Linked DNA regions of Drosophila melanogaster. The protein of the gene in region 1 purifies or fractionates together with the protein of each later gene. This does not show direct contact. Each region holds a gene or a part of one and is shown in the gene's direction. Other genes may lie near its edges.

The links.
Region 2: the proteins of Ilp6 (region 1) and ImpL2 purify together in Drosophila melanogaster (affinity purification with western blotting, with the first as the bait; one study listed by BioGRID). This does not show direct contact.
Region 3: the proteins of Ilp6 (region 1) and Sdr purify together in Drosophila melanogaster (affinity purification with western blotting, with the first as the bait; one study listed by BioGRID). This does not show direct contact.

The regions. Positions count from the first base shown.
Region 1 is NC_004354.4:2,328,858-2,339,347, reverse strand, and holds Ilp6 (Insulin-like peptide 6), read left to right. Parts: upstream 1-4,689; 5' UTR 4,690-6,028; intron 6,029-6,437; exon of another isoform or gene 6,438-6,809; intron 6,810-6,939; exon of another isoform or gene 6,940-7,072; intron 7,073-7,208; coding exon 7,209-7,422; intron 7,423-7,500; coding exon 7,501-7,610; 3' UTR 7,611-7,855; downstream 7,856-10,490. UniProt on the Drosophila melanogaster protein: Possible ligand of InR/insulin-like receptor.
Region 2 is NT_037436.4:4,222,610-4,231,064, reverse strand, and holds ImpL2 (Ecdysone-inducible gene L2), read left to right. Parts: upstream 1-5,114; 5' UTR 5,115-5,172; coding exon 5,173-5,181; intron 5,182-5,358; coding exon 5,359-6,138; intron 6,139-6,213; coding exon 6,214-6,228; 3' UTR 6,229-6,355; downstream 6,356-8,455. Other genes in the region: CG46460 (uncharacterized protein), read left to right, coding at 4,289-4,384. UniProt on the Drosophila melanogaster protein: Essential developmental role during embryogenesis, in particular the normal development of the nervous system. May be involved in some aspect of cell adhesion.
Region 3 is NT_033777.3:14,915,087-14,926,641, forward strand, and holds Sdr (secreted decoy of InR), read left to right. Parts: upstream 1-3,541; 5' UTR 3,542-3,791; coding exon 3,792-4,343; intron 4,344-4,421; coding exon 4,422-4,959; intron 4,960-5,017; coding exon 5,018-5,165; intron 5,166-5,226; coding exon 5,227-5,622; intron 5,623-5,685; coding exon 5,686-5,902; intron 5,903-5,954; coding exon 5,955-6,211; intron 6,212-6,281; coding exon 6,282-6,780; 3' UTR 6,781-7,997; downstream 7,998-11,555.

The DNA.
Region 1 (10,490 bases):
AGTTTATACTCGCAGATTGTTTTCAATTATGTTCATATATATATATATATATATATATATATATTTCACTCTTCGCTTTTTGGTCAATGATTAATTGATGAAAATGATTGAAATGCGGTTAATGATTTATTTTGAAATCGTACTCCTAATCGCGCACTTGCGTGCAAGCATAATATATATATATATATACTTAAATAAACGGTGTAGTAAGTCTGGCATATAGTAAACTCGATTCTGTTTACGAGTCGGGACCACGCGTCGTTCAAGTGATTTGCCCGCTGGCTTCTGTTTCACGGGAAATAGAAAAGCTCGGGTGAAAGTTCATCGGGACACTCAATTTTCGATGGGTGCAAAGTCCCCGTGTTCACGGTACTTTCTGGACGTTTTCAAGGTCACCAGCCGGCCACCCAACCAGCCAGCCAGCCAGCCAGACGGATGGTAGACGGCGCCCCAACTCCCGATTTCCGACTCCAGATGGCCGACCCCCGCAGATTACGAATACGAAGACGGTTACGAAGCCGGAGAGTCCGGGAAAACAGATTAGAGATGGGATTTGTGGGTCAGTGGTTCCTATTTCATTGACGGATGAACTGAAATCGAGCCAACCTTGAAGTGCCGAGTAAACAAACAGTGTTTAGCTTATAGTGCTCATATTGAATCCAATCCACTAGACTTGCGAATTCCTCGAAGGACTCCAATCTTTACTTATCTCTAGTTACTTCACTAGTTCACACTCTCCATGCGGTTTTTGTTTTTGTTGTTGCTTGCTACTTGTCCGCGAATTTGGATAAATGCCCTACTAACTCATGGTGTTATTTATTTGACACTTTTAAGTGCTCCGTTTATAAATTTAGAAATTGGTTTTATGTGGCGAATTAAGGAATTCACTTTAAGACCCTAGTTGATTGTCCACTTTCGGTGTTAACCGAGTTCAAGGCCCCTTGGCTTTCTCGCTGTTTCGGTGGGTTCAATTCCAGTTCAGCACTCCTTGAACCACAGAGTTCTGTGTGCCAAGCGTTGACCTTGAGTCCGCCCATCCGCCCAGCCGTTCAGCCGATTGCAGTTCATTGGCAGCTGGGAAAACCAACCACCGCCCACCGCCCACCATTGTGGAGGCCAACAAGAAGTATAGCCAGCAAATGTGTGTCTATGCCCGCTGGTGGCTGCCACCATCGATTGTTGCTCTTTAGCCCAAACACCCAAGCCCCCAAGCAACCACTTCGCCACTCCGCCACCCACCACCCACCACCCACAGCATCAGGCATCACCGCAGCATGCTGTTGTTGTTTTTTTGGGGTCGTTGGCGACAGTTTATTGACATCGGGCGATAATTTCGTGAGCTGTTTTTTTTTTTTTTTTTTGGCACAGCTCCCGAGTGAAAAAAAAAAGAGGAACAACAATAACAGATTCTTGAATATTTAAATGCGAATTGAAATGGACATCAAATATGCAAAGGTGTGTTACCAAAGCAACGCAGCGGATATTCGTAATCCACCCTTGGGAATGAATACTATTTAATTATTCATTTACAAATTCCTGCCATAGTAGACAAATATTAAGAAGTAACTTATTATGAATATGTTATTCTTTAAATGGCGCTAAATAAGCTCGAAATCAATGTTGCTACTAAACGCAAATCATTATGAACCAATTTACTGGCACACTTCAGCTGAGCGGAACATTGTCAAATCTTCATTGTAACCAGTGGACAAAAAGTCCATGTCATTTGATTGGTAACCCCATCCAGGAATTTCGCATTAGAGCCAGTTCGATGGAACTTGCGGCTTAATTGCAAAGTTCAATTCGCTAGAATGGGCATTTGATTTGTTATTGCTCTTGTTTCTCTTTGCCCCTATAATGCGAGTACGATTGCAGACTGTTGTCGCCGATGTCTAGGCTTTTGGTATCAACAACAAACCTCCTCCACGCTTCTGGGTCAATAATCTGCGTCTGAGCTACAGCTTCGTGCTGTGAGTTGCAAACTGAGAGATGCGAGCTGCGAGCTGCGAGCTATAGATTCGCGATGTCTTGGCGTTGGCGCCCGATCGCAGATGTCAATCAATGGAGATCCAATTTTAGCACAAGTAAACAATATTCGCTGCCGCGTGGGAAGTGTTGGTGGGAGGGGGCTGGGGATGGTGTGTGTGTGTGTACTGGGTGGTTGTAGTGGGAGGTGGACCTGAGGCGCCCCCCACTTGCGGCTTATCTGCAGCGCTGGCTAAAGGAAAAAAACCAAGAGGCCGCTCTTGTTTCCACCACTCACAACTGCGATAGCGGTTTATCCAACATACGAATCAAATGTCTTGGGCCAATAAATAGAGTAGCCCCCAAATCCACTAACTTGTTTATATAGGCTCCACTACCGCTCCAGTAGTCATGATTCACCAGCGGGTTTTCCAGCCAGAAACGGGGTATATTTAAGCATCCTTCCCAATCCCGAATCGTTGACCGTGTGGCTCTGCCCACCTTGGACTCTGCCCCGCATCGCGTATTGCGTATTGCCCAAGGCACTGAGATCTCCGATCTCGCCGATCCTCCATCCGTATCACACCAGCCCGACCATTTTCAATCGCCGCCTTCTGCAGTCTCTTCCCAAAACAACAGATGGCATTCCTACCTATGAAGTTTCCTGAAAGTATCTGCACTCATAAATTCCGAAGGAATCAAGGAATTGAAAACTCGAAGGTTTGTTAACAAACATATGTACATATATTATTTACTCAAATTTGGATAGGTACGTCATTGTTGTTTCTCTCAGTATGTAGATGAAGTCTTTGCTTATCTTTCGCGATGACTTAGCGCACAGGGCCTCGCACCCCCCATTCCCCCTTATCACTTCGCACCATCTCTTTCTCTCCTTACTCAACTCTCTCTCTCTCTCCCTCTCTCTCCGACTTCACCGCTCTGTTGTTTTTCCCGACGGAGTGCCAAGAGTAATGCTAAAAATAGAGATCTTTTATTTTGAATTGAAACTAGATCACGACGAATTCACGTTGGCGTTGTTTACGGTTTTTTCACTGATATATGCAGGCGTTCCCAACGTACCGCCAATCGCCCCCCGCCCCCCTTTCCATCCACTGACCCGTACCGCCCCCTTTTGGGCTGCCCCATCGGCTTCCGTTCTTCATCTTCGTGCAGTAGAAGTCGCACTCGCAGTTCCAGCAACAAAAACATCAACAAGCTTATCGCCGAATCATTATCTGCAAGCCAAGCCAAGCCAAGCCCAAGACCCCGTCGTATACAGGGTATATTTGGTCGTATATAGGGTACTCCCAGGGTTTCAGACCCAAATTGCTTGCATCTTCCACGGGATATTAATTGATTAGTATCTGCCCCAAGTCAATAGAATATCCCTAAATTACAGTTTTTCAAATGAAAATCATCGTTTTGGCCAAATGAGCGTTAACAAGTGTCAATTACATACATATATTCGTGAAAATTGGGAGCAAGGGTTGCGGAAACAATGTGAATAAAAAACTATATATGTACGTATGTACATACATACATAGGTATGTATGTATGTACATATGTATGTAGCTTGGAGTCCTCTAAGCGAGTGAACTTTGTCGCTTTGACGAAGCGGCAGCGTTAATAGGGAAAATGAAAATCAACAAGTGCATATATGGAGCGTGGACTGGATGCTGCTTTTCCACTGATGGATTCACTCTATTTATTGTTGTTGTGCCCGCTGTTGCTGTGTGCATTTGTCGCACACACACACACCACACCCACATGGGCACCCACACACTACCGCACAAGCGGTGTTTGTGTGTACTTTGTTCAAAGGCGATCTTATTAATATGATTATTCCATTGTATGCTTATACAGTCCGACATTCCTAACCCGAACTATCATCATGCGCTCTTTTAGACTCGGTTTCGCACCAATATACTCCACAGTCGATATTTTGGAGCCCCAAATCCCAATCCCAATCCCTGACATCCCGACATCTGACTCACCACTGCCCGATGACTATATACATATGTACATACGTATGTTTATTATGCGATAATCGCATAATTCCTAAATTTGCAAACGCAGCTGGACGTCAACAACCCAAAACGCAATTCTGGTTGATATTACCATTTGAACTTTGACTGAAGCTCCTCCAGCTAGCTACTTACATACATACATACATACATATGTACATATGTATATTGATGGTATGACTAGAGACGAAGATTAGGTTAATGGAGTTAAGATTTAGAGTAATGGGAAGAGAAGCAGTAAGAATTATGTTATCACTCTGGAAAACCGATCTGGCCCCAAAGAAACATCTTGACCCACAAAAGTTCGGCGTACTGACGTTGCCCTGTATTAATGCTCTCAAACACTCAAGCACTCACACAATCAATCACACACTAATACACCCGCAAACACTCGGACCCATGGTGACCCAAAGTTGATTGAATGTGTCATGGCCGGCAAATTGTTTAATTTTAAGCATTTGTTTGTGCTTACTGTGTTTTTTGTTTTTTTTTTATATATATTTTTTTTTTTCGTTTTCGTTTTCCTTTTCGCAAGACACTGGACTTTGCTTCCAGAGACTTTGCTGTCTCGCTCGCACTTCCACCTGCAGTCCACGTGCTGCGCATTCGCTGCATCCTGCTCTCTCATTCGCACGCGCGTAAAGTGAGGCTTCGTTTTGCGCTGGCGTCGCGGCAACGGTTCTTTTCCAATTTGGCTGTGAAACAACGAAGAACGTTCTTCCGAGCGAGCGAAGAATTCGCTAAGAGTGCAATTAAAAGCGTGAAAAGCGGAAGAAAGGCAGTGCGAAGAACGGTCTTCCTGGCAAACAACGAGCGAGTAGAGTTCGTCAAGAGTGCAATTAAAAAAAAAAGTGTAAGATCCGACGAGCGAGAAGAGTTCGTCCGAAGTGCAGCGAAACGGGTGGAAGTGAAAGAAAGTGCAAGAAAGTGGTGATAAGACAGCATCTGCATCTAATTATAGATCCCACTGGTGGTCTAAAAATAAACAACCGCAAACAACGGCAAACAATTGGAGAGTGTTTTAAACAGCTGTTGGATTCGGATTCCGATTCGGATTCTACTCTCTCCCGGCGAAAGAGATAGAGATAAGGACGTGCAGAGAGCCAGCCCAGCGACACATGAGCGAAGAGTGAGCGAGAAAGAGACAGAGACTGAGACTGAGACCGAGGCAGAGGCTGTGGAAGGGAGATCGCGGCAGATAGGAATACGAGATACTCCGAAGAAAACGGCAGCTTTACGTTCCAGCAACCAAGCGTCTAGCTTCCAAAAGCGTTTTCAATTCCAAGCCAGTCGCAACGACAGCGGAATACCGCTACAATTCGCACTCTCAGTCGACTGCCCTCTCACTCACTCACCTCCTTCTCCTGCGGCCCGAGACGTATACCCGCACTCTTCTGTTCCTGCCACAATACTTCACGCGATGAAACAACAACTGGCGGGCGCAGCAGCAGCAGAAAACGCAGCAGCCGCAACAGCAGTCGAAAACGCAGCAGACGCACCAGAAGTTAACCACTTGCTCGATTTTCCACACTCCGAACGCCAATCGATTTTAAAAGGACATTGATCGAACGTCAATCGCCAAACTCACGGATATTTATCAATTCGCCTTTTTTTTTGCACGTAAAAACCCTAACAAACATTTAAAAAAAAAAAAACCCAAACGAATCCCACCAGAAAACGATAGTTACCCCTTATTATTAGTCGTTTTGTTTTGTTTTTTCGTCAATTGATTGTGATTTTGAAACTGTGTGATCGCAAAAGAAAATCTGCAAATTAGCAAAAAAAGAAAGTTCCTTAAGCAAGTGATAATCCGATAGAAACTCTAAAGACAGAAAAGGAAAGGAAGCGCCGGAGAAAAGAGACAAAATATACACGAAACTAAAAGCTCCCAATATCAGCACCATATATATATTTTATAGTCCACGAAATCAAACAAAACATAAATATCATAAGTCACTCTTAGTCATTCGTCATCGAGGACTACACTACTAAGGAAACTAATTAATACTACAAAAACAAGGATTAAACGGCATGCAAACGTAAGTTCATATACTACACATATATATTCATTCATATTATATAGGATCGGATTTTCTAAGAAACACAAGTTCAAAGTTAGGACAGAATAAGACGGGTATGGATTTCTACCAGAAATGTCTTATCACGCTTGTTTTTCAATTTCATAGGCATAGACTTTAAAAAAAAAAAGAAGAAAAAAACATGGAATCCGCCATAATCTTTATTTTAAATCAAAGTCGCACAAGATTAAAAAAATTGAAGCCCTTCAAGGATGTGAGAAGTGTAAGACCTCCAGCCCCTTGAACCATCCAATCACTAGAGATTGACACAAAGACAGCCTTAACCTCTTCTCGATTCTTATCACGATGAAAACAAAACTCGAGCCGAGATCGGTTCTTCCCAAGGAAATGAAACCAAACCAAACAAACAAACAAACAAACAAACCAACCAACCAACCCACCAACCAGCCGAAATCAGCCAAGTGGTGTGCGACATCTAAATATACACCCATGTACTCGTCTATATCGCTGTGAAAACGAAAGCGACAGAAGTGGAAAAACATTGAACCACATTACTATATATGGAGTGTGGTTGAAAACCGAGTTTCCAAAGGAGAGTCATAAAAGCAAGCAATATCAAAAACAAAAAAAAAACCAAACAAGCCACATGGGGCATATGCCCCACGAACACCCAATCCCGCTCCATCCCCCTTTCATTCGAGTCACTACGACTTTCTGATTGTGTATAAAAAGAACTCATGTTCCAAATGATAAGTGGGGAGCCCAGCAAGGCGGCAAATCGGTGGGTTATTTTTAAACACTGAAGTTTATGTAAATATATTTCCTGGCCAGCCCAGACACAAACAATAACAGAATCGAATGGAAAATACAATAATATTTGAGCGTTGTTGCTGATAAGGCAACCCAGCCAGAAACCAGAGACCAGAGACCAGGGACCAGGGGATCAGGCGCGTGCGCGAGGCGGAAGAGAGATGGGGTAGTTATCTGGCCGGCTCCGAAGAACCGTGTCCTTTGACGATCCATGGCCATGCTGAAGCCACACAGGTTTTTTTTTTTTTTTGGGGGGGGGGGGGTGGGGGCTATGCGGGGGGATGACAGTGACATCAGTCATATCCATGGGCACACTGCCTCAGCGATTCAGAGCGTTGTTAAGCAATCTAACAATCTGTGCCCATTGCAGATGGTTCTCAAAGTGCCGACGTCCAAAGTCCTGCTAGTCCTGGCCACCTTGTTCGCCGTGGCGGCGATGATCAGCAGCTGGATGCCCCAGGTGGCGGCCAGTCCGCTCGCACCCACGGAATACGAACAGAGACGCATGATGTGCTCCACCGGCCTCAGCGATGTGATACAGAAGATATGCGTAAGCGGAACGGTGGCCCTTGGCGATGTATTTCGTAAGTGTGTCCCATGATTCTTGACATTTCGACGAACTCTAATCTCAAACAAATCCCGTCCCCCTCCACCCTACACAGCCAACAGTTTCGGGAAGCGCAGGAAGCGCGACTTGCAGAACGTAACCGATTTGTGCTGCAAGTCGGGTGGCTGCACCTACAGGGAGCTCTTGCAGTACTGCAAAGGATAGTGAAGGATTCACACGGTGGCCCGAGCAGCCACAAACCACTCCGCCAATTCCGCCACTCCGCCACTCCACCACTCCACCACTCCGCCACACCCATCCACTGCAAATCAATTTACACCACTCCCATCATTCGTAATCCCTAAGATATGAAGCGCAAGCAGCAGTGTCCCCTAGAGTATACTAAGTATATTTACTAATTTAACTATACACTAACTAAATTCTGTACAATAAAAGAAATTTGAAGTGAGCGCGAGCATGTAGCGTAGGTATCCAAATGTAGTATGTAGTAGGACCACATAGTATTATGCAATTTTCCGCTCCAATTTTGAGATCTTTCCAAGTCGTGCCCATGCCACTGGGCACACCCCTTTCATTAGACCCATCTATTGTGGGCGAAATCTATTCATGGCGACACTCGAAGAGATTGTCATGGTTTTGAGTTAGGGTTTCGGATTTGGGTTTGGGTTTCGCATTTCGAGTTTCGGGTTTGGGTTTGTTTCATTCAACAAGCACACCACCACCCTTCGAATGGCCATTGGCCAGGCCACCCACCCCATTTAAATTGAATGCCGGGCGTAAAACTTTTGCAAAGGATACTCGCAAGCTGAGTGCGAGTGCGAGCACCCACAGTATATGGGGTCAAATGGTGATGAGATGACTGCAAATTAGATTACAAACGCTGACGATGATGATTTTAATGATGGTGCAAATCAGGCACACATGGGAGTGGCGAGTGTGTACCTCAAACCCCACTTCAGCTGCAAATCTCTATGGGGACAAGAAGTGCTCGCCTCTTCTCTGGTTCGGCCAAATGAAAAATCGAGTATATAGCACTTGTAGTTCGGATGAGTTCGCATTTGGATTTGTATCCTGCATCCGCTGGCTTATATTTAGTAAAAAAAAAAAAGAGAAAAAAAGGTACAAATGTTTATTGATTGATTGATTTTAGACCAAATGTTGCACATGCTTATTTCACTGCTGATGATTTGTTAAAGTTCAAGAAATTACTGAGCTAATTTGTAACATAGCCGGTGTTTCAAGGCTCGATTTGGTTAATCCGAGACTACGAGTCCGGTGTGTAAAATTTTCAATTTATACTGAATTTCATGTTAGGCACGAATCCTTTAACGCCTAATGTAGTATCCTCGGTAGTAGAGGGCTCGGCTGACGAATCCATTTTGAGGCCTCGGTATCATTTTGTTAGCTTCGATGGGTGGAATTATTGGATCGCCCTGCTGAAAGTCACTAATATTACCTTCGGAATTTGAGGTTTCATTGGCATTGAGGGGGCCCTTGGTCGAAGGAAGGGGTAGGGGTTTCTTGATGCTCTATTGGAGAGACGATGGATTCATTGGCCATCTTCTTGTCATCTTGCAAACACTCACCTGCAGCCTGGACAGAACAGAGTCACGGAGTTTACCCAACCAAAGATTTATTTTAGCCATAGAAACGGATCTCGAAGAAAACTGAAAAACGAGGGCAATCGTAATCGAATCGAATGGAATCGAATGTAGAACCGTAGAATTTAGATGTTTGCATATGCTTAACGTTGTGGAAAATCTATTCGTGTGCTAGTGCTCGTAGTTGTGCTCTGAATATGGGAGCAGTAATATAAAAGAATTTGACAGTTGAATTCGTTTAACTCATGGACTACTTGAAATTCAAGGAAATTCAGAAAGTTCCTCAACCGGAAGCGGAATAAGTATGTGTTTATATCTCCCAATATTTCAGAAATGTTAAAGATCCTTGATATTAGAAAGTCATAACTCATGCCTAAGAGCAAATTGAAAAGGAAAAGGATTCTCCACCCAGTGGACACGGACACGCGACGGATAATGTGGGTCGGAGGTGGATGACAACGTCTGGAAATCGAGTGGGTGCCATGTGGGATGCCACCCCCCCCAAGAAGGATAAGCGACACCAGACAAACTTCGCCGGGCAAACCATCCCCATGCCCAGCGCTCGACATTGATGGAGCGAAGCCATGGAACATTAGCTAAATCTTACAGAAATTTCGCACAACGTGGCGAAAACGAAGGGTGCGGGATCCATGGGCTTCGTCCGCCCAACAAGACCATTCCACTCCATTCGCCCCTTGACGGGGTTGCAAAGGAAAACATAGCTCAAAGGGTCGTCATGCACTGCGAAAAACTTTTGGCTAACCAACTGAAACTGCTCTCAGTTTCCACGACAAGTAAATGGTTAGAAGTTCTAGTAGCTCATACTAAGCACTTAAATGTTCCATTGATACGCTTTCATTAAAAAAAAAAAAAAAAACAGCTTTCCTTTTTCTCTATCTGCAGGGATGCGATGGCTGGAAATGGGTAGTGGCAACAGAAGTCGTACGGGGACACGTTCAACCCCAGAAGGCAAGGCAACGCCAAACGAAAAGTACAGGAAAATCCCAGTCATTCGGGCAAGAGTTGCGAACTTTGGTTCAGTAGTCCTGCCTGTGTGCTCTTTTACCAGAATGTCCTTCTATTTATGCATTTAGTTCGCCCGAAAAGCCTAAAGAATGTAATGAACCAAGAAGGAAATTCAGCTGGCCAGCCTAATGTAGCAAAATATCAATCCAAACCAACGCAGGCACACAATAAAAATTACCTGAATAAACAATGATTCCAGCGCTGACTCGGTAAAATAGCGCAAAGACACTGGCCACTGGATAAGGAACAATCAAATGATGCGCGGGATCAATGGAAATAATAAATGAACAATTGCAATCGATCAATAGCAACAAGGTAAACCAAAACCAAATACCCAACGACACAGAAATAAAAAAAAAAGTCGCCGGAATGTCGAGTTGAACATTTAAAAGCGTAAGCCCAAACCTTTCAATTTATCTACCAATTTATGCAATTTAAGTGACACAACCCAGCAGGA
Region 2 (8,455 bases), on another chromosome or scaffold:
TGGTCGAGAGGCCTAGAGGCCGAGAAGTTGGCCTGTTGCTAGGCGGTTAAGACCCGACCCTATCAATGACAGCAGGCGGCAGCTGGAGAGGAGGGGGGTCGAGCTGTAAGAAACACTGTGAAAACGGCACAGAATTTGTGGCATGAACATGAATTTTCTCACGTCGTCACCAGAGTTCCACTGGCTGCTACAGTCACACCGACAACCTGCAATTCACCGAATGCATCTGTATCTGTACCTGTAGCCTGTGCATATGTATCTGTATCTGGCCAACTGGTCTTGGCTTGCCAGTTGCATGTTGCACTATCTTTTCCCCGAACTCTCGGCCTGTCTCGTTTCATATCTCCGTCTCCTGCTCTATCCGTCCGTCCCGCCGTCCCAGCGTCTCACTTTGAATGGGCCGTTTCCCCGACCCCTACCCGATCGACACTGCAAGAAATTAGGCCTATAAACGTTAGGTATCAGACACTACTTTTTTTTTAAATAGTGTATTGATTAAAACGTGGATATCTGGAAGATTCTTTACTCATAAAAGCAGTGCATACTTGAAAAATTTCAAACTATACTCCCATATCATTCTAAAAAATAGTCCGACTTGCCTAATTTTTGGTATGCAGCCTGATATAGACCACACATGTGTGTGTACATTAATTTCTCTCAGTGCACCCCTTCCACTGACTTTTTCCGGTGGTGTGTTGCTGCTTTGTATCTCTGCGGCTCTGGAGGTGTTGCTATCGCTGGCACGACGTTAATTAGCAGAAAAGTGCAAACGATGCGGGCCGTACGAGTGGTGCGATGTGGCAGACGTACAAGTAGAGTGTAGAGTGGTGCCGCTTGGTGCGGTGGCTTACGAAGAGATTTACCCATTACCCATTACCCATTAGCGGAAGCGGGCCAATTTGGCTTACCCATGCACCCATGCACGAGTCTCCGATCGTCCATTGTCATGATGCAATAATTTGTGCCATCAACTCGGCAAACAATCGTACGATTTTCAGTCAGCTCTATGGAAAGAAATAACTGAAATAAAACCGAATGACGGGGGGCCAGACCTCGACCTCTCTTTCTTCCTCCACATACATACAAGACGGTGGTCTTGTGGAATACATAGGTGGCTGTGTGCGGAGTGAAAACACCAGCGATCGATCGTTTCTAGGAAATGGAACCTATAAATCTACGCTTCGCACGAAAAACTTCGATGACAATGCCGACGGGCCGTCCACCTGAGATCGGAGGGGCGTTGATAATCGGAGATCGGTGATATTGGTGCCGGCCGGTGGCGATCGCCCAAGTCGATGGCCACATGAATATGTATGCCAAGCCAAAGTTAAGACGGTCCAAACCAATGTACGGTGATCTCATTTGGGAGGGCCACTAAAAGACACTCAGAAAAATTCACAAGTCCTTCCATACATAAGTTATGTAGGTTTATCAACGGTAAAGAATCATAAAAGTATGCTACGTCTTTAGATCGGTTATGAAAACCCTTATTAAAAGATTACAAATGAGTCAACGCTTTCGCTTCCTTATAATTCCCAAGTGTGAATCTTGACTTCTGCTGTTTGATTTCCACTTTGTTATATCGGTGATATAATGCCACACTTTCATCAACCTTTATTGGGGCTATCAAATTCAATTCAACACTCAAAGTTTCCGATTTTTATTTCTGATTGCCCCGTTTGATCCCGCTCAATTGCATCCGTGTGTCCACCTCATCTAGGAAGTGCAACCCCTGACCGCGTCACTGGCGAATGTTACGTGAGGGGATCGGATCGGATCGGATTGGATCGGATCGCAGGCAGTGCCTCCTATTGTAGAAAGTGCTCCCCAAGTCGCATCAAAAGGCCATTTCAATTCAGTGCCCCTTACGTCAGCGTTACGATATCGTTGCCAGCGCTTTGAGGTGTGCCGTCCAAGGCTGATGATGATGAGGAGCAGGCGGAGGAGCAGCGCACTCGGAGATGTCCAGGGGGCGGAGGAGGCACTGATCTGGGGCTCGCGGGGATTGGCGGGCCAAGGAGAGGCGGCGGCACGAGACACAATTTCAAGCACCTGCAAGATTTTTCTCTCAATTGAATTTCGCTTTGTGGCTGGCTCGTTGCCGCTGCCAAGTGCTTGAGGGGGGCGGGCGGGTTGGATAGCTGTGGCGGCAAGGGGGCTGACACATGGTCGTGGAGAGGGGGTTTCAGTGGGGCGGTGAGAGACCCGTCTGCGGTCGGACGATTTGTGTAACGTGCAATAAATAAATTACTCGTAGAATTGAATCTAGTTGTCGATGTGGCTTGTCGATAAAGCGAAGAAAGAAACTAGTCGCGGTGCCTCAGTATCAGCCACCCCCCTCCCCAATGCCCCTACCCACCCCTCATCATCCTGACCACAAGCGGCTGCCGCCCGGCAACAGCGGAAAGCGAACACGCGATGTGGCTGCCAGTCTGTCTGCCATTTTAACTGCACCTCCGGTCCCCAGCCCGCGGTCCCAGTTTCCAGCTCAGAGCTCCAAGCTCCCGGCCGGCAACGGCAGCTCAGACTAGTTTGGACCCCGTCCACCCCGACCACCGCACCCCTGGCCACCGATGTTCACTTACATTTACGAGCAGCCAATCAGCAATGCACTTGGAAAAAACGGTGGTTCCCGTGGATATCTTTAAAAGAAATTTTTTAAAGAAGTGGAACATTTAAGTAAACTGAGATTAAAGATATGGTTAAATATACATATGATTTCATTTCAATGCTTGAGTTCCGAATCCTTTCTCTCAGTGTACCTTGTGGTATCGTACCTCCCCATCCGCCTACCGCTCCCCCTCCAGCGCTCCTCATTCAGCCAACGAACGCCGCAGACAAACTGGCACTCACACTTGATTGCAATGAGGCGATCGCACGGACAGATTGGACAGATGGACGGACAAGCCAGTGACTTGGACTCGGAATCGGATTCGAACTCAGACACGGTCTCGGCTAATGGAACCTTGCACCATGTCAGTGCCACTGCACCTCCTCCTGCGCCAATCCGATCCCCAAGCTAAGCAACCACTCTGGAGACTGGGCCAAGAAAAAAAAAAAAGAAGTGGTCTGTTCTTGGCCAGACATTTGAATGCTGCTCGCACCGTCAACGGGCTTTAAGTTCTGATTCCCATGGGTGGTTATTAATTGGGAGATTGGTTATGGATTACAAAATTAATTCGTTCGAATGAATTCGAAACCATGGAGTTTTAATTAATGGTTTTGACAACTACAGTGCTAATTCAGTAAGCTAAACGAATAATATACGGTTGATACTTTGCACTTCGTCGAAATGATTCATGAATATTAACAGAGTAGTGTGAAGCACCTTTATATGTAGGGTTAATTAATTTTACTTACATGTGATAGAAAGTCATAGGATCTCGAACACTGTTGTATGTTCTCAACAACTTGCATAAGATGACAATGTTAATTGTCAAGATCGAAATGAAATGGTATATGGGCTGGAAAGTCATTGAGCTATCCTTGTGAGACACCTCAGTTTCCAAACCACCAACTCTGGACTGCGGACGCAATTAGGCGGTGGAAAGACAGATCCCGAGGCGGATAATCGAACCCCCCGTCCGGTTATATCTGTTTTGTTCCGCACCTTCCCGGTGCGGCGGTCGCATAAAGAATTACGATCCGAGAACGAGCAGAGAGAGAGCGGCGAGTGAGTGAGAGTGTGTGTGTGTGTGTCTGTTGTCTGTGTGTGTGTGTGAGTGAGCCGGCGTCGCATATAAATGGAACAGCGCTGCGGCCACCAATTCAGTTCTGTTACAGTTTCCAGCTGTTGAACACGACTTTTGAGAGCCGCCGAAGCCAACTGATCCGAAGTTAACTAAGCCGATCCGCGATCCTCGCTTTTCAATTCGCCGTGAACCGCATTCGCAGCAGCAATCCCCCCCAAAAACCAAAAACCAACACACCTTGACTCGAGTGTAATGTCGATGAACCGTGCGTATTCAAACGAGTGCCGCGCCAACCAGACAACCATCAAGAAGTACCAGACCAAGTCCACGTCCACATCGAAGGAGCACTGATACCGCCACGAGGATCGAATGTGCCAAAGTAGTCAGCTAGATATTCGCTACGCCGCCTGAGATTAACACGCTTCCGCTACCCAATTACTCGATCCTTATCCCGATCCTGAAGCGCCACTCCCGAGCACAGCACCCAGACGTTTCAATACGATCCATCCTCGTCGCCCAAGACAGACCGGCAAGCAGCCAAGATTCCACCAACACTGAGCTGCACGACCTCCAAGACGGCATCCAGCGCCGGACCTATGTCAGTGCTAAGCCAGCTGCTGCTCAACTTCAACCAGAAAGCCCAGACCAGGAGCCATCACAACATAGAGCTGATAAATTCGTTCATAACATAACGATAAGCCGACCTGCTTCTGCTTTACCTGATCTATCATCGTCCAACGTTGGGGAGAAATTTGCAAACATTTTTTACCGGAAGAGAAAAAAGAAATCAAATCAAAGGGTGAGTAATGTGCGTTAACAATAGATAGGTGATTGCCGCCGAACGCAGTTTCGTGTTCCGTTTTTCGTTTGTTTTTTTTTTTTCAAAATTCGAATTCGTAGAAATGCCCAAAGATACAAAAATCACCGTCGAAGGGCAAAGACCGTCTGATGCAACATTCGCCAGCGATTGGCGAATGACTTTTTGTGGGGCTACTACTAATTCATACATACAAGCGTATGTACATACATAATACCCTCGAAACTATTTGAATAATTAATCGGTCACGCAGTTTGTCCAGTCTAGACTATGGGGACACATTGGCCCTTGATCTGCGGCTGAAGCGTGGGTGAGTGTGTGAATCCGAATCGGGCTGTAGAATTCGAATTTAAATTGACGTCACACTCCGCGAGTCATTCCGTTTTCCGTTTTCGATTTCTGCCTCTGATTCGGCCCACGCAAGAATCTTATATCATTTTCTTTTGTCAATTCTTGTTGTCTGGTGACGTGTCATTGTGAAATACATTCATCTACGTTTGGACCGAGCACATCTCTTAGGGGCCGGAAAAGGATTCCGAATCTAAATTCCGGACTCCGAGAGCCATTAGCACATTTCGCAAGTGTTAGTAATGTTCTAGAGCCCGCCGACTGAAGGCCTTGCGTTCTTATCGGGGAAATAGACTCGGAGACCTCCCCTGATTAATGGAGGCGGTGATGAGTGGGGGAAGTGGGGTGGTGGGGTGGTGGGGGGATGCATGACTGGCTGAAAAGTCGGGCTAATCGCATCACGTTGCTCTGGGGTTTAATAACCTATATTAGAGTCGTACGAGTGCCGCTGTTGAACTTTGAACTCACTTCCGATTTCCACTCTCTCTATCGATCTTGCAGAAAATGAATTTACATGTGTGCGCCTTAGCGCTGCTGCTGTTCGGCAGCATCGCCACTGTCCGCGGAAGAGCCGTGGACCTGGTAGACGATAGCAACGACGTGGATAACTCCATCGAGGCGGAGGAGGAGAAGCCACGCAACCGAGCCTTCGAAGCCGACTGGCTCAAGTTCACCAAGACGCCGCCGACGAAGCTGCAGCAGGCCGATGGAGCCACCATCGAGATCGTTTGCGAGATGATGGGCTCCCAAGTGCCCAGCATCCAGTGGGTGGTGGGTCACCTGCCCCGCTCGGAGCTCGATGATCTGGACTCCAACCAGGTTGCCGAAGAGGCGCCCAGTGCCATTGTGCGCGTCCGATCGTCGCATATCATCGACCACGTGCTGAGCGAGGCCCGCACCTACACGTGTGTGGGACGCACTGGCTCCAAGACCATCTATGCCAGCACTGTGGTGCATCCTCCTCGCTCCTCTCGTCTGACGCCGGAGAAGACCTACCCGGGTGCCCAGAAACCGCGAATCATCTACACCGAGAAGACGCATCTGGACCTCATGGGCTCCAACATTCAGCTGCCCTGCCGCGTGCACGCCCGTCCCCGCGCCGAGATCACCTGGTTGAATAACGAGAACAAGGAGATCGTCCAAGGACATCGCCACAGGGTGCTGGCCAACGGCGATCTTCTGATCTCCGAGATCAAGTGGGAGGATATGGGCAACTACAAGTGCATAGCCCGCAACGTCGTCGGAAAGGATACCGCCGATACCTTCGTGTATCCCGTACTTGTAAGTATTCCCCTACCCGCCGGGTTATACCAACTCATCCTAAGTAATCCCTACGTATTTTTCTTGTCCTTGCAGAATGAGGAAGACTAAAGATCCTACCACCAAATAAAAAACAAAAGGCTATTGGATTGACGACGGAAATTCATCTAGTTAGTTAGATAGATCAAATGCCTTCGAAGATGCGTGAAAAGAAATGAAATATGCTTAGAAAAAATACAAAAAAAAAAAAATCAAAAAAAAATATGATGGATCAAAAGGTCATACGATTTACAATTATGTACAATTTAGATTAAGCACAATCTAGCTCGTAGTCCAGGTAATTAACCGTATCTAATGCCGGCTTAGACACTAATTTTCCCACTTATTATCCTCGAATATCAGTCACATTTAGAGCATTCGAATTATAGCACCTACTTTATGGTTTTCTTCAATTATAGCTTTAGTTATCGGCTTGTAATCACGCTTCTTTGGTTCTTTGTAAGTAGCAATGATTGTTCCTAGCGATTCAGGCAGCACTAGTTAACGTATTTAAACTAATTGGCCGTTTACTTAAGGGCACTGCAGCCCAAGAAGCACTTATGACTCGTGGCACAAGCCACAGTCAATCAACCAATCAATCAGTCAATCACCCACCCAATTCGTATTTATGTGCACCCATCATTTCTACAACTAATTTATTGATCGACCAAATTCATTCAGCATCGCCACCCATACAGAATCACTGAATAGTATTCACGGAATTAATCAGTTTCATAAGCTACCCGACTATGTTTTAATTTATAAGGTAATAGAACTGAAATATGTTTTTCTAATTGTTTAGTGTTAGTTTTAATCCAACCTTCAAGCGATTGTTTTTGAATAAATACAAGAAAATTGAAACAAAAGTACTCAATGGGCTGAATGGGTGAATAAAACGAGCAGCTACGAGTACATACACTTTTCATCACTTTATTGACGGATCTACAAACTACGAATAGTCACATTATCTACATAAACTCGTACAGTTACGTACATACATTGAACGGGTAAAACAGTTTTGCCATATTTTGCAATACGATCTTAACAACAAATAACGATCTCGATCCGGAGGACCTTTACGTACACAGATGATATACTATATATTGCTGGTGTAGATAGATATTGATAGGTTGGCTCCAAAGCGGGGGCTAATCTCACGACCCGATTGTGCGAAAGTTCTATACTATATATGCGATTACGATTCGTAAAATATATATGTATGTTCTCAAGTCACCTTTGATATTGTCGCATGTCTTTGGAAATTCAGATTTCAGAGTCTGTGAGGGGTTTTTTTTTCACAATCGCTGGCGCGTAAGATCAAAGGCAGAAAGTTTGGTGATCGGAATGGTGCTGGTGCTGGTACTCGTACTGGGTGGTATGGAAATAGATAGAATCTCTTGCTCTGGCGCACCAAGTATTGGGTATTGTCTGCCTATGCGGATCTCGGATCTGTGTGGACGGACTGTGATCGTGCTGTGGTGATAATACTTCAATTGGAAATGCTCTGTTAATGATTGGGTAGCAATACCATGCGATCCGAGTGTGCGTACTTAATGGGACAAAGATCTCTGGGCTCTATTTTTGGTTGTATCTGCAGGCGAAAAGGGGCGCAACGAAAGTGTTTCTCTTGATCAACCGAGCAGCTGGATGCCGTCGATCTCTGCGAACGGTTGCCGTTTTTTAAGCGCCTTGCCGCTGTTGCCGGGCGCTTTTTTTTTCGGTCTTAATTCTTTTTCTTTGTATTTCGGCCAATTTGAAAGTCGCTCGTGAGTCAGAGAGAAGTAGTTGTAGTTGCCAAGTGCGTCGACAACCAGTTTTCCGTCTCCAATTCCCGTCTCCTGCGTCCCATTTGCCGAGCTATCTCTCCGCACCGCCACAAATGGAATGATTGATTATTCATTCAGATTTTCATCAAGCGAAGAAGGGGAGTGTGCCATCCATCATTTCTGCCGCCCAGGATGGAGGATCGCCGACCCAGACAGGTGTACACGCACATGTGATGGGGAAATAATGCTTAGTTGGCATGGAAATTCCGCGAATGCAATCGATCGACTTGCTGAATACCTCTAAATACATTTGTCAACTTTCTGGGAATTTTTTGAGTTGGTCAAAGGCGCTTTGCTTTTGGCACGTCACGTAGCATGGGAAGCAGATAGGAAATAAATCATGACAAATGACACAAGACACAATAAATAAAACTAGGGTGCGCTAAAAGCAGAACGAAGGAAACTAGAACGACTACAACTTATGCTACGCAGAGGGTAAAATTCGGGAATTCAGTAGGTCAGCCAGTGTTCAT
Region 3 (11,555 bases), on another chromosome or scaffold:
GAAGTTTATGCGCAATGGAGTGGTTTGAAAAATCAAGGCTCTTTTACAGTGTACAATGTACAATTTTCATTGCTCATTGCAATGGAAATATTACAAGAAATATGAATTTGTATTACAATATATATACCCTTTAATTTACTTGCATTCTTATGCAATAGAATGCTGGCTTTAATTTGAAAACTTTCTAATTGAAGTGCTATCGAATTTAAAAGACACACTCTTAGGCACTCATTTTTAATTTTAATTGGACTCCATTTAACGCAATTTGGTTGAACAAGACTTGTTAGCAGTTTGATTGAGATTGAAAGCTTTTTAAATTTGATTGAATTGAGGCTTGCGGAATGCACGTGCAAATGAAGAGCATTGCAATTTTATGAAGTGTGGCAAAGAAAGTAAAGTAATAGTTTTACCAAATTAAAAATGGATTTCAGTTTGTGTGTTTTATACTTGCTCGCCTCTTAAATGGATTATGTAATTTTTGATGACTACTTATGAAGTAACATTGTTTGCACTCGAATGTTTTTATTGTTCGTTATCCCAAAGGTAAAGGGAAACTCCAGTGCACTTGCTGTGTGGTCTGTTTTGGCCAACTTCTTGGACGTCTTAGTGTAGTTTTCAAGCAGATTGCTGTGTCATGTGTCCAATTGCATCAGCCAGCCGGGTTGAATATCCTGTCAGCTGCTGCGAGGTGCCACATCAATCAGGATGCAAGTGCTCCAACTGAGCGGAAAGGACTCGAGAATCCCGGGAAGAAAGGCTGATGGAACAGCTGCTGCCATTGTCTATTTGCCGGATTGCATTTTTCAGCAAACTTAATTAATTCTCCGGCTCGAGCTGTAGAGTTCGTAATAACAGCAATCATAATGGTAATGGGTCATGATGAGACAGCAGGCAGGCAGGCAGTAGCTCATTGAATTGGCAGGGCCATAAATTGCATCGACCGCTTGATTTATGGCCAACAGCCATGTGCAAGCCGCCCAAGGCCTCCTCCTAATTTGGCACTTAAATGCAGGGACGTGCGTGGGCCGCCTACTCACGGGTTGACTTATGTCCAAGTTTTCCCGTTTCCACTCTCCCATCCCTTGACTCTTCCCACTGTATTCCCGATTTTCTCAGCTTTTCCCGCTTTTCCCGGGTAGGCATATGCACACGTCCTCGCTAGCGATTCCCATCACGCGCCGCAAAATGGTGTTACGTGTTTGCCGCCTCGGATACTCTGGTGACTGGAGTCCACCGCATCATTGCCATCTTGCAACTCCCGTGCGAATTAAGTGAGTCAGAGATGGTGCTCTGCTCAAAAAAGCCATTCTAATTTCCTGCTGGCTTAAGAAAACTTTCATTTTATTATTGGAATAATTATGAAAACATATTCACTACAAAATAAAATGGTTTCGCAGTTGTAGAGCATTTTTATTAAATACTAGCTAGCTACTTCATCATCGCTGGAGGGCTGTTGTCAGTTCCCGCTGCCCCTTTGGTTGCCCCTTTCAAACGGCGCCTGTGTGCTGCTGGCATATTCAATAATTGGCGCCCCTGGTTATGGGGGCTTCCGTGGTGAGGGGTGGTAGTGGGCGCTGGTGGGGATGCTCATAGTTTGACGTGCCGCCGGAAAGGATGCTGCATTAAATTCCGCGCGTTTCACATCAGCGCAGGCTCTGCAAATTACTGCGAAAATTGATTCACAGGCGGGTGGCGGGAAAACGGAGAAAAAGAGCACATCAGCTAACGAAAAAATCATTGATAGTTATGCCTGTGTGGTTTTTTCACACGTTTACTGCGATTTTTTATGTGGGTGCAGCTGGTGATTTTGCGTGAATTTGTGCATTTTGCACTCGTTAAAAAAAGATACAGTTTATGGCAGTTTTGTTTTTAGAAATAGAAGTTGGCTTTAAGCATATTTAAAGCTAAAAATAACGTTTTATGATAAATAATAATAATAAATTACTGCCTATATTGACCATTGATGATGGTTTTATCAATTATTAACTAATTTTGAATGGATTATCGCGACGGTAACATAAATTATTATGTTTAAAATAATTTTTGGAATAGATATAATAACTAAATAATTATCCTGGGGTGAATTAGGCAGATTTTATCCGCTGTTACATATGTAATGATATATTCAAAGTACTACACTAAAGATATACCCTATAATAACAAAGTGAAAATTTGAAATTATTTCGTGCGTTTTTATGTGGTTTGCCCATTAAAATATCTAAAACAACGGGGCACAATTTTGCGCAAATTATTTATAGATTTCTATTGCTATTGTATTTAACACATAAATATATTATCTATTTTTTTGTTATTGAACAATCATTCAAGCTGCGTATTCAATTGGCATCTGACTAAATTTAGAAAATTCTTTTTCCGATTCCATTGAGCGTTACTTGCACCTTAATGAACTGCCAATTGCGCGTTGTTCAATGCTCACTACTCTACCAATTGGATTGGAGCTTTGGTTCACCCCCTCCCACCATTTTCGCTCTTATTTTCACTGTTTTTTTGCATTCACTCTAATTGAATTGTTCGCCGGTGCAATTTAATTTCTGCGCAAATGCAAAAACAAAAGGCAAAGACATGCACTCTGGGGAAAAAGGTAAAGAACGCCGGTAGGTGGCTAAGGGGAAGGTAGCTAAGGAGGAAGGGGGAAGAGGATCCAACCGGTTTGCAAATGGTTGCAAGGTCACATGGGGAGTGGGGGCGTGGCAAGGGGCTGTGGCGGTTGCAGAAGTAACAAGTGTTTTTCGGCTGACGGCAACAAGGAAACGACAATGAGAAAAACGTGAAAGGTAACAGATGCGTAAAATAATCGCTCCCCAACAAAATGAAACAGTGGCGTGCCAAGAATTTCAAAAAGGGTTTCCAGTTTTTGAATTTCATTTGTAGCTCCACAAATCGATCTATCAAAAACCGTAAAAGATCATACGAATTATCATGGTACTCTTAATCTTAATTTTAAGTTTCGTATATCACTTTTTTAATTGACTGCAAAAGGGCATTAGGGGGTTTAAATTTGATTGAGAAAACTAGAAACAAACAAATAGCAAGACCGGCAAGTATATTATTTTACGATATTGTTTTACGAAATGTTTACTTTCATTAACGTAAATATTACCAGACTGCTCCCCATCGAATCATCAGTCTTCTTCTCTCACAACAGCCACCACCTTTGATTTTCATTCTTGAGCAGTTTTTATACACCGAGTCGAAAAAATAGTTCTGGTTTTTGAAGATATTTAGATATTTATATTAGAATTGGCTCTATCAAACAATATGCTAAATATTTTATTATTGTAATAATTTTGGAAATCTGCTTAAAAGATATTTTGCTTAAGAAAAAGGTTACTAAATATGTTCGCTTTGCATACATTTTTAGGTTCTTATAAATGTCGACAAATTTGAATAGTTTTATGAACACTACACGATTTTCCGCTGGTGTAGCCGAAGGGTTTAGAGAACGAAGACGAGCGCATAAAAAAGAAATAACAGTGTGAAACAAAACCAAACAAAACAAAACAAAGTGAATGCCGAAAGAAGAGGCTAATTAAAGAGATCGAAAGCACAGAACGCTGTTCGAATCGAATGCCATCAGTCCAAATCGAATCGTTGCCGCGAACGCAGCTCTCTTCAAAAGCGGAAAAAATATTTAAAAAAATATATAGTTCAACCGATCGATCGTGCGAGAAAAACGACATTGACATTCAAGCGGGCGCGCTAATTGATCCATTGGAAGCCCCCTTAACGCCCGGGTCAAGTGCTCTCAATTGGAAGTGTCAGGTGGCAGCATGGGGCATCTGCACCCCGTTCCCAACCCCCTTCCGATCCCCATCTCGATCGCAGTTCCGTTGATACTGCTGTTTTTGGGCGCCTCATCGCCGGTTTTGGCCAGTTCCGATGATCAAACCGCCTGCGGATCGTTGGAGATAAATAAGATTGCGGACCTGCGGAAACTGCAGAACTGTACTCATGTGGTGGGTCACGTTCGACTGGCCTATGTGGATCTGACGGATGTATCCGGCAACTACAGCCTGGATTCGCTGGCCAGCAATGTGACCGAGATCAGTGACTACCTAATGGTGTATCGCTGCACGGGTCTGATCAGCCTGCAGTCGATATTCCCACGGCTGCGTATCATTCGTGGGCAGGAGCTCCTCTTTGATCAGTACTCCCTGGTGGTCTACGAGAATCGCAATCTCAGGGAGCTCGGCCTGGTGGAGTTATTGCGCATCCAGAGCGGATTCATTCGCGTCGAATCGAATCCCTTGCTGTGCTTCGTGGAAACCGTCGATTGGATATATCTAATGGGCAATGCCACTCGGCAGCACTTTTCCCTTAAAGTGAGTGAAGATATACTTGGGCATATGTTCCTTGATATTAAGCAAATATTGGATAAATAACTTTTTTATTAACCATAGCACAACAGACCGCAAAGTCAGTGCCCTTTGTGTGGTAGCCTGTCAGCGGACTTCGAGTTCATCCGGAACTCCTCGGAGCGCTGCTGGAACGTGAATACGACACAACTTCGCCCCCAACCGCCCAGACTTAAGGACTGCCCCATTGCATGTGGCCTAAACGGATGTGATAGTGCGGGCAAATGTTGTGATCACAACTGTGTAACTGGTTGCTATTCCCAAAACTGCTCCCTTTGTGCAAACTACCAGGGAAGAATGGGATGTGTCAATCAGTGTGTCGCCAGCTATGAATTAAACAAGAGGAGGTGCATCGGTCACAGGGAGTGCCGGGAATTGGGAAGGATTCCCCTGATACGCGGCTATCAGTGTGTGAAAAAGTGTCCGGGAAACCAGAAAGAGATTTTGGTCGCCAAGGGCATCATCCACTGCCAGGTGGAGTGCAACGGCGATTTTCACGTGAAGAGTGCTGCCGACCTGGAAGTTTTACAAGACTGTGTGACGATCAATGGTTCACTTACCATCGAACTCACCAATATTAAAGGTGTGTTTCATATCATATATGATATCTGTATAATTTACTTACATAATACATTTTCCAGAAAAAATTGTAGATGCCTTGGAAAATGCGTTGGCCAGTGTTAAAGAGATCACTGGGTATCTGAAGGTCATACACTCTGCACAGCTGATGTCGCTCACATTTCTTCAGAATTTGGATGCCATAAGAGGGGATAAGCTGGTGGAAAACAAGTTAGTTTGAGAGGCAAGGATTGTATTGAAATTCTAATAATATTATTTATCTCATTTTCAGATACGCCCTGTATGTAGTGAATAACTACCATTTGGAGCACATTTGGCCACCCAATCACCTGGTGATCATTCAGCGCGGTACACTATTCTTTCACCTGAATCCCCGCCTGTGCTACGAGAAAATCCATCAGCTACAGGGCTCCCTGAAAAGCGGAGAGAATATATCCGTGGCAGATGTATCCCCCAATTCGAACGGCGAACGCGTGATTTGTGGCGACGCGGTGCGCTCCCTCAATCCCAAAGTGGAGGACCTAAATTCCACTGCGGTACGCATCATCCTGGACTACATGGACTGGGAGGGTATGGAAACGCTAATAGGATATTCGTATCACTACAAGGAAGCCCCGGTGCAAAACGTGACTATGTACGATGGTCGGCATGGTTGCGGTCATGACAAGTGGGTGTGGACTCCTCGCCCTCACCAAGTTTACCTACAGTGATTCTGTTTATAATTTTCCAGCTGGCTGATGGACGTTGTGCCCAACCAGAGTCGACGTCATGTGATAAGCGGTCTGAAGCCCTACACACAGTATGCGTATTTCGTGAAGACCCTCACCAGAACCGAATATCATATTCAGATAGATGCCTACTCAAAAATCGGCTACTTCCAGACGCTACCGGATAGGCCAAGTCCTGTGCTCCGAATATATGGCAGTTCGGAAATCAGTTCCCAGATTGTAAGTACTTTTCAAAATATATCTCTCAGCTTAAAAACTTGTTCATTTCCAGCTTCTTCACTGGTGGCCACCGAGGCGTCCAAATGGAGTCATTAAAAATTATTTTGTGACCGCCGAAAAGTACAATGCTACCAAGGAAGCAAAGGACAAAAATTATGTGAATGTTGAGTTGGAAAATGCTAAAGACATCGATTGTGAGTGCGCTGGTGTACTGCCCTACTATTCAGGTCCTCAGCCAGATGACGAGGATTACTACAACAAAGAGCAAATCACCTACGAGGATGCGTTGCCCAATCTCATTTATGTTTCGTAAGACAAGAAAATATGGTTTTCTTTGAAGTTTCAATTGAAATAATATACAATATTATACCATCTATAGGCGCAATCACGACTATCGCAGAAAGGAGTTCGAAAAAGTGATTAACTATGAGCACCTGTTGTCCATAAAGAAGGATGAAGAGCCCACCAGACCGCCCACAACCACTCCTGCTCCTACAAATGCAACATTGGCTAAGGAGAGATTGGCCGCAATTAACTATGAGAATTATCGCCTGAATAGCGAGAAGAAGCAGCGGGATCTTCAGGACTTGGACCAGCACAAGTATACCATCCGACATGCCTTGCCCAAGTGCCAAAACTCCCACGCATCCGTGGTCCAGCAAGTGGAGGAAAAATGCGTGGCTGAGGAGCCCTTGAGTGGCTACGAACTTCCGGGCACCCAGCACTTTTACTGCCTCTCCCAGTTGGAGCCGGAAACCCATTACCGGATCACCATACGGGCTTGCGTCGAGGGCGTGGTCAACGGATGCTCAACTCCGGCGGAAGCTGTAATCAAGACTGCAAGCATCCAACTGGAGCGATTCATCAAGGGTGTTTAGCAGAGAATCCTCGATCGCAGACTTTCTGTATCCGCTGACAAGTGATAAATGCTAGACCCATATGACGATAGGCATGTTGAAAACTTGATGCAATATCAACCTAAATCAACGTGTTTAACATTTACTATATCTGTATTTATTGTTCTAAAAAACTTGACATAGAAGGACCGCTGGACCTCTTATTTTTCCAGACTATATATGTCGTAGTTTTACTATTTGGAATTAATTTTTTTTTTTAATATTTTTCGGTTTTTAACTTTGATTATAATTAGACTGAACAGCTTTAATGCTTTTTACTTGAATCAATTGTTAAAATGTAATGTAATGTGTAAGCCGTGTCATATGGGCCCAACTAAGTATTGTAAGTCAAGTGACTGTAGTTCCTCCAAATGTATTGTAAATGTGTAAATGCCAAACAAATCCTCGACAAGCGAGCAAATGTTTTCATCAGTGCTAATTTGACTTATCAGCTTATCAGACTTAGCCGCACGTCCTTGCAATGTGTGCCAGAGCCAGAAACCGTTCAAAGGGAAAAACCCTCACTGACAGCAGTGATTCCTGAGATCCTCAACTTGGCCCGGAAAGCGGTTACCTTTCTCTCGAGATTGGCCATGGCATAAGCCTAGGCGAAACTAACAACAGCAGGCTGCCTGGAACTTCCAACGCATGCCACTTAATATGCAAATATGCCGCAAAAGAGCTTTAAACTTTAAAACACTGACAAAAACTAGAACTAATCCCCACCATCGAAAACTGGGCGGAAAGGGACTAGGTCGAGACGATGCTTTTGCTTTCGGTGTGGAGTGGAGTCAAGTCGAGTACGTGTCATGTGTCGCCTTGTTTGTGGCCAAGTTTTCGGCGCAGCTGGAAAAGTTCCATGAAAACGTGTCCCACTCAATGGGGAAAAGCGGTTCGTGATTGACGCAGGACTAAGTATGAGCGGCGAGGGGTGAGCGGGATGCGGGAAGCTAAGGACGCTCAGAGTGCCTGCAGAGGAAAAGGATTTCAATTCTGCCGCTGACACTGACGCGCAATTTAACTACCTTAGAGGTCGCGAGTGAAGTACTCCAAAGGGGGTAACTTGGCGACTATCCCTTCGCGTACTTTGGAAGCTTCACTGCAAGAAACTCACTAGCACAAATTTAGGTCATATATAATATACTGCAATTGAAAGCCAATCAATAAAAGGTATAACATTTCATTGTCTACAATAAAATTCCCTTTAAAAATACTCAAGTTTATCATATTTGTTAGTCTAAGCTAGAGTTTCTTTTTAGTGAGCTAATACCCGCTGGCAAACCTTATTCAACCTACTGAGTGTAACTAATCTCTTTTTCAATTTTTGATGTAGCCATTTAAATCAACTGGCTGGACTTAAAGCAAAATGCTGGGCAGCTGGAAACCACTTATGCCACATCCTTTGGCGCCGTCTTTAAGTGGAGGAAGGAAGAGATATGGGGCTGTGTGTGATCTTATCCTAAACCAATTGTATTTCAATATTTCACTGTCCCCTCCTCTTCGCCCTTTGCTGTTGCACCATTTTTCGCGTTATTTCCGTTGCCATAGACGCAGTTGTAGTAGCAGCTGTAGCTGTGGTTGCAAACGTAGTCCTTGCCGTGTAGCCTCGTTATCCTTGCACTCGTTTGTTATCTATGCACTTGCCGGGCCAAGCACTTTGGGTGCGGTTCGTCGATGTCAGTGCGTCAGTTTAGCAGTTCCTCCGTCCGCCCGTTGGTCCGCCCGTCCGTCCGTCAGTCAGGCAGGCAGGCGGACAATAAAACTGAGTGCACCGCAACTCGGACTAGTGCTGTTCAATTGGAGTTTATTTAATATATGTTTATCAATTTTATTTTTAGTCCGAAAATATGTTACATACCTGACATTTGTTTTTGACCTATTAAATTGCTATAGAAATCGATACTTAAAACTACCAGTGCGATACTAAGTATTGCATGGATGGTACAGAATATGCTTACTTGCTTTTGACTTAGCCATATTTGGCTTATAACCCGCTATGTGGGCAGCTTTGCCAATCCATATGTGTGCGCTCCTCGATTGTCCTTGCCCCAACTGGAGAAACGAAAGTGTCGGCATCACCTTCACCATCGGCGCATTAAACTCTGGGTTTTCGAATTTGGATTTGGTACGGGTCGGCATGCGAGTTCTGGGTTAGTGCATTCAGTCTGGGAACGGTAATGGTAATGATGTGCACTAGTTTGGACCTGAGACATTGATATATACTGAACACCATCAGAGCTTGTGCGAGTGTGTGTGTGTTACTATAAATGCAAGTAGTTGCCAGTACTAAGGGAAACCAATTGAATAAAGATAGAAAATTTAAATTTAAAAATCAATAATATATAAAATTGTATATGAAATATTTTTAATAAGTAACTAAGTATATACTACACGTTAAACGTTAAACATTTTAAATATTTTATCATTGAAAATCCCCCAAATCCAGTTACCAAACTTGCGCATACATTAAATTCTAGGCCACCGAAAAGGTCAAGTCCTTCTTCCTGCGACAAATTTAAAGAGCTTTGGATAATCCCCGACCTACTAAGCCCCGATTCCCCCCCAAAAACACAACTGTACCCCATCTTCAGGTCAGCAGTTCGTCAGCTTCGAAATGCGCGACTCGCACACACAATTGTCCTTTTCAATGACCATTGCCATTGCTTTGTTATCCTGTCGTTTTGTCTGGCTTTAGTCACATTACAAATCCAATTGCCAATGCGAGATAAATGCGCCCGGATAATATGAACTGGCATGTGTGGGAAACGGTCACTTAGTCCACAAGGACATGTACTAAGTGACAGCCGGAGGGAAAGTGCTCGGGGGGATGAGGATGAGGGCGTAGATGGAAAGCAGCTGATTTTAATTTTAGTTAAATCAAAATGTGCTGAGGCAGGAGCCAAGTTTATTGGGCAGGACCAGCTCAACTCAAAGGACCGCCATCCGACACGTCTGGACTCTTAGTTGGTTGGCTGCAATGCGTTGGGTCATCCATTTTACTCTTCCACTGAAAGAAACACAATAATATTGTCGATATGAAGTTCATATTTATATAAATTAATATAGAAATACTATCTGCTTGTTCAGAGTAAATACAAAATGTTCACCTTATAAAAATTGTTGGTCTGTAATTGAGTGAGTGATACAATTTTGTGGCCTGCTTCATAATAAACCCATTTTGGGAATCCTACGAGTAAACAGTTTTTTCCGTACCATATGTCCTATATTTGTAGGTCGAGAGAACTTAATTGCAACTGGGGCTTTAGCTTTGCGTGGCTTTTGGCCTGACATGTGTTTGCTTTGCTTGTGATCCATAAATAATGAAAAGCGCTGAAAATAGTTTTTACTCAGGCACTAAACTCTCACGCTGAATAAAAAGTCGAGCATGAAAACAATCAGAGGTCAGATAAGTAGTTAGTTTTCCACTTAATTGTCCTGGAAATAATTTAGCCCCGCCAAGGATTTGTCCATTAAACGTGAATAATTTACCACACCAATGCATTGAGTTGATGATTTGAGTAGCCTCGTGTGTGTGACATAAGTGAAATCAATTTGACGATTTATTTAGAGCTATTATTTCGTAGGCAATAACTACAGGTTCTCTGGCTTTTCTATCCGTCGGGTTCACCGGCGTCTAACAATGAACAGTCATTGCTCCACTTTTTGCGCTAAACGATTTCGTGGAACGGGACATGACAAGTGGAAATTATGAATGGGAAAATCTAGGCCCCAAGCTTTAGGTGATTGAATGGATTTCTGCGTTGACAAGGAGCTGATCGAGTGGATCAACGTCTAGACTGCCTAAATTATGAAGTCTATATATAGGATACAAATAAGCATCGAAAAGTGTGTTTACTTACGTAAGCAGTAATCATGTTACCTCCTTCAACAAACACAAATAGGTCTCCTTTCAATTTTCAAACAACCATACCCTTGTTTGTTTTTCATCCTTTTCAAAAGCCGTTGCAAAAACTTTGCTTTGTTTAACGCGCGTTCAATATTGAAAATTACACCTTAATTAAGTGCTATGCACGCATTGCAAATGTCAATAAACCGCTTAGCCCAAAAACCAATATCCTTTTGCACTTGTCGCAGTTTCCCCTCCTCGTCCACCTACCCACACCTGTGCTAGTGTCTGTCTGCAAATATGAACAAAACAGTTTCAATTGTTGTTGCGGCGTCATATTTGTCAGCCATTTGCGAATGTTTCCACTCGTACCCCCACTTCCGTTTCCGCCCACTCCGTTCGGTTTTTGTTCCATTTCCGTTATGGCAGGACGCATTCATTTTGGCGTCATCAAGGTTTCATGATGCGCTGGCAAAACGTGTCATCGGCACAACGATTCGTTCTGCCTGACAGTTGACAACTCTATCAAAAAGGTAAACTGATGGACCGAAAGGGGCTAGGATGGATTTTCCCGGGTGGCCACTGGAATGTGCGAATGGCAAGAGGAACAGGAACCCATGTCGAAGCTGCTCAATAAAATGTCATTCAACGCTGCTATACGTGACAGTGGCGGTACAGTAAATACAGGTGAGGATAAGCTAATGATGCAATAGTTTCAGTAGTTGACTTAAAGTTTATGTTCTTTAAAATAAGTAAATAATAAATGTGAATATTAATAAAGAGAATCTTTTAGTTACTGTTCAGTTACTGGAATATAATTGTATTCAACATATATTTGAGCTATTTGTATGAACGAAAAGACATATTTATTAAACTACAATAATATATTTGAAATTGTTAGAAGTCGCTG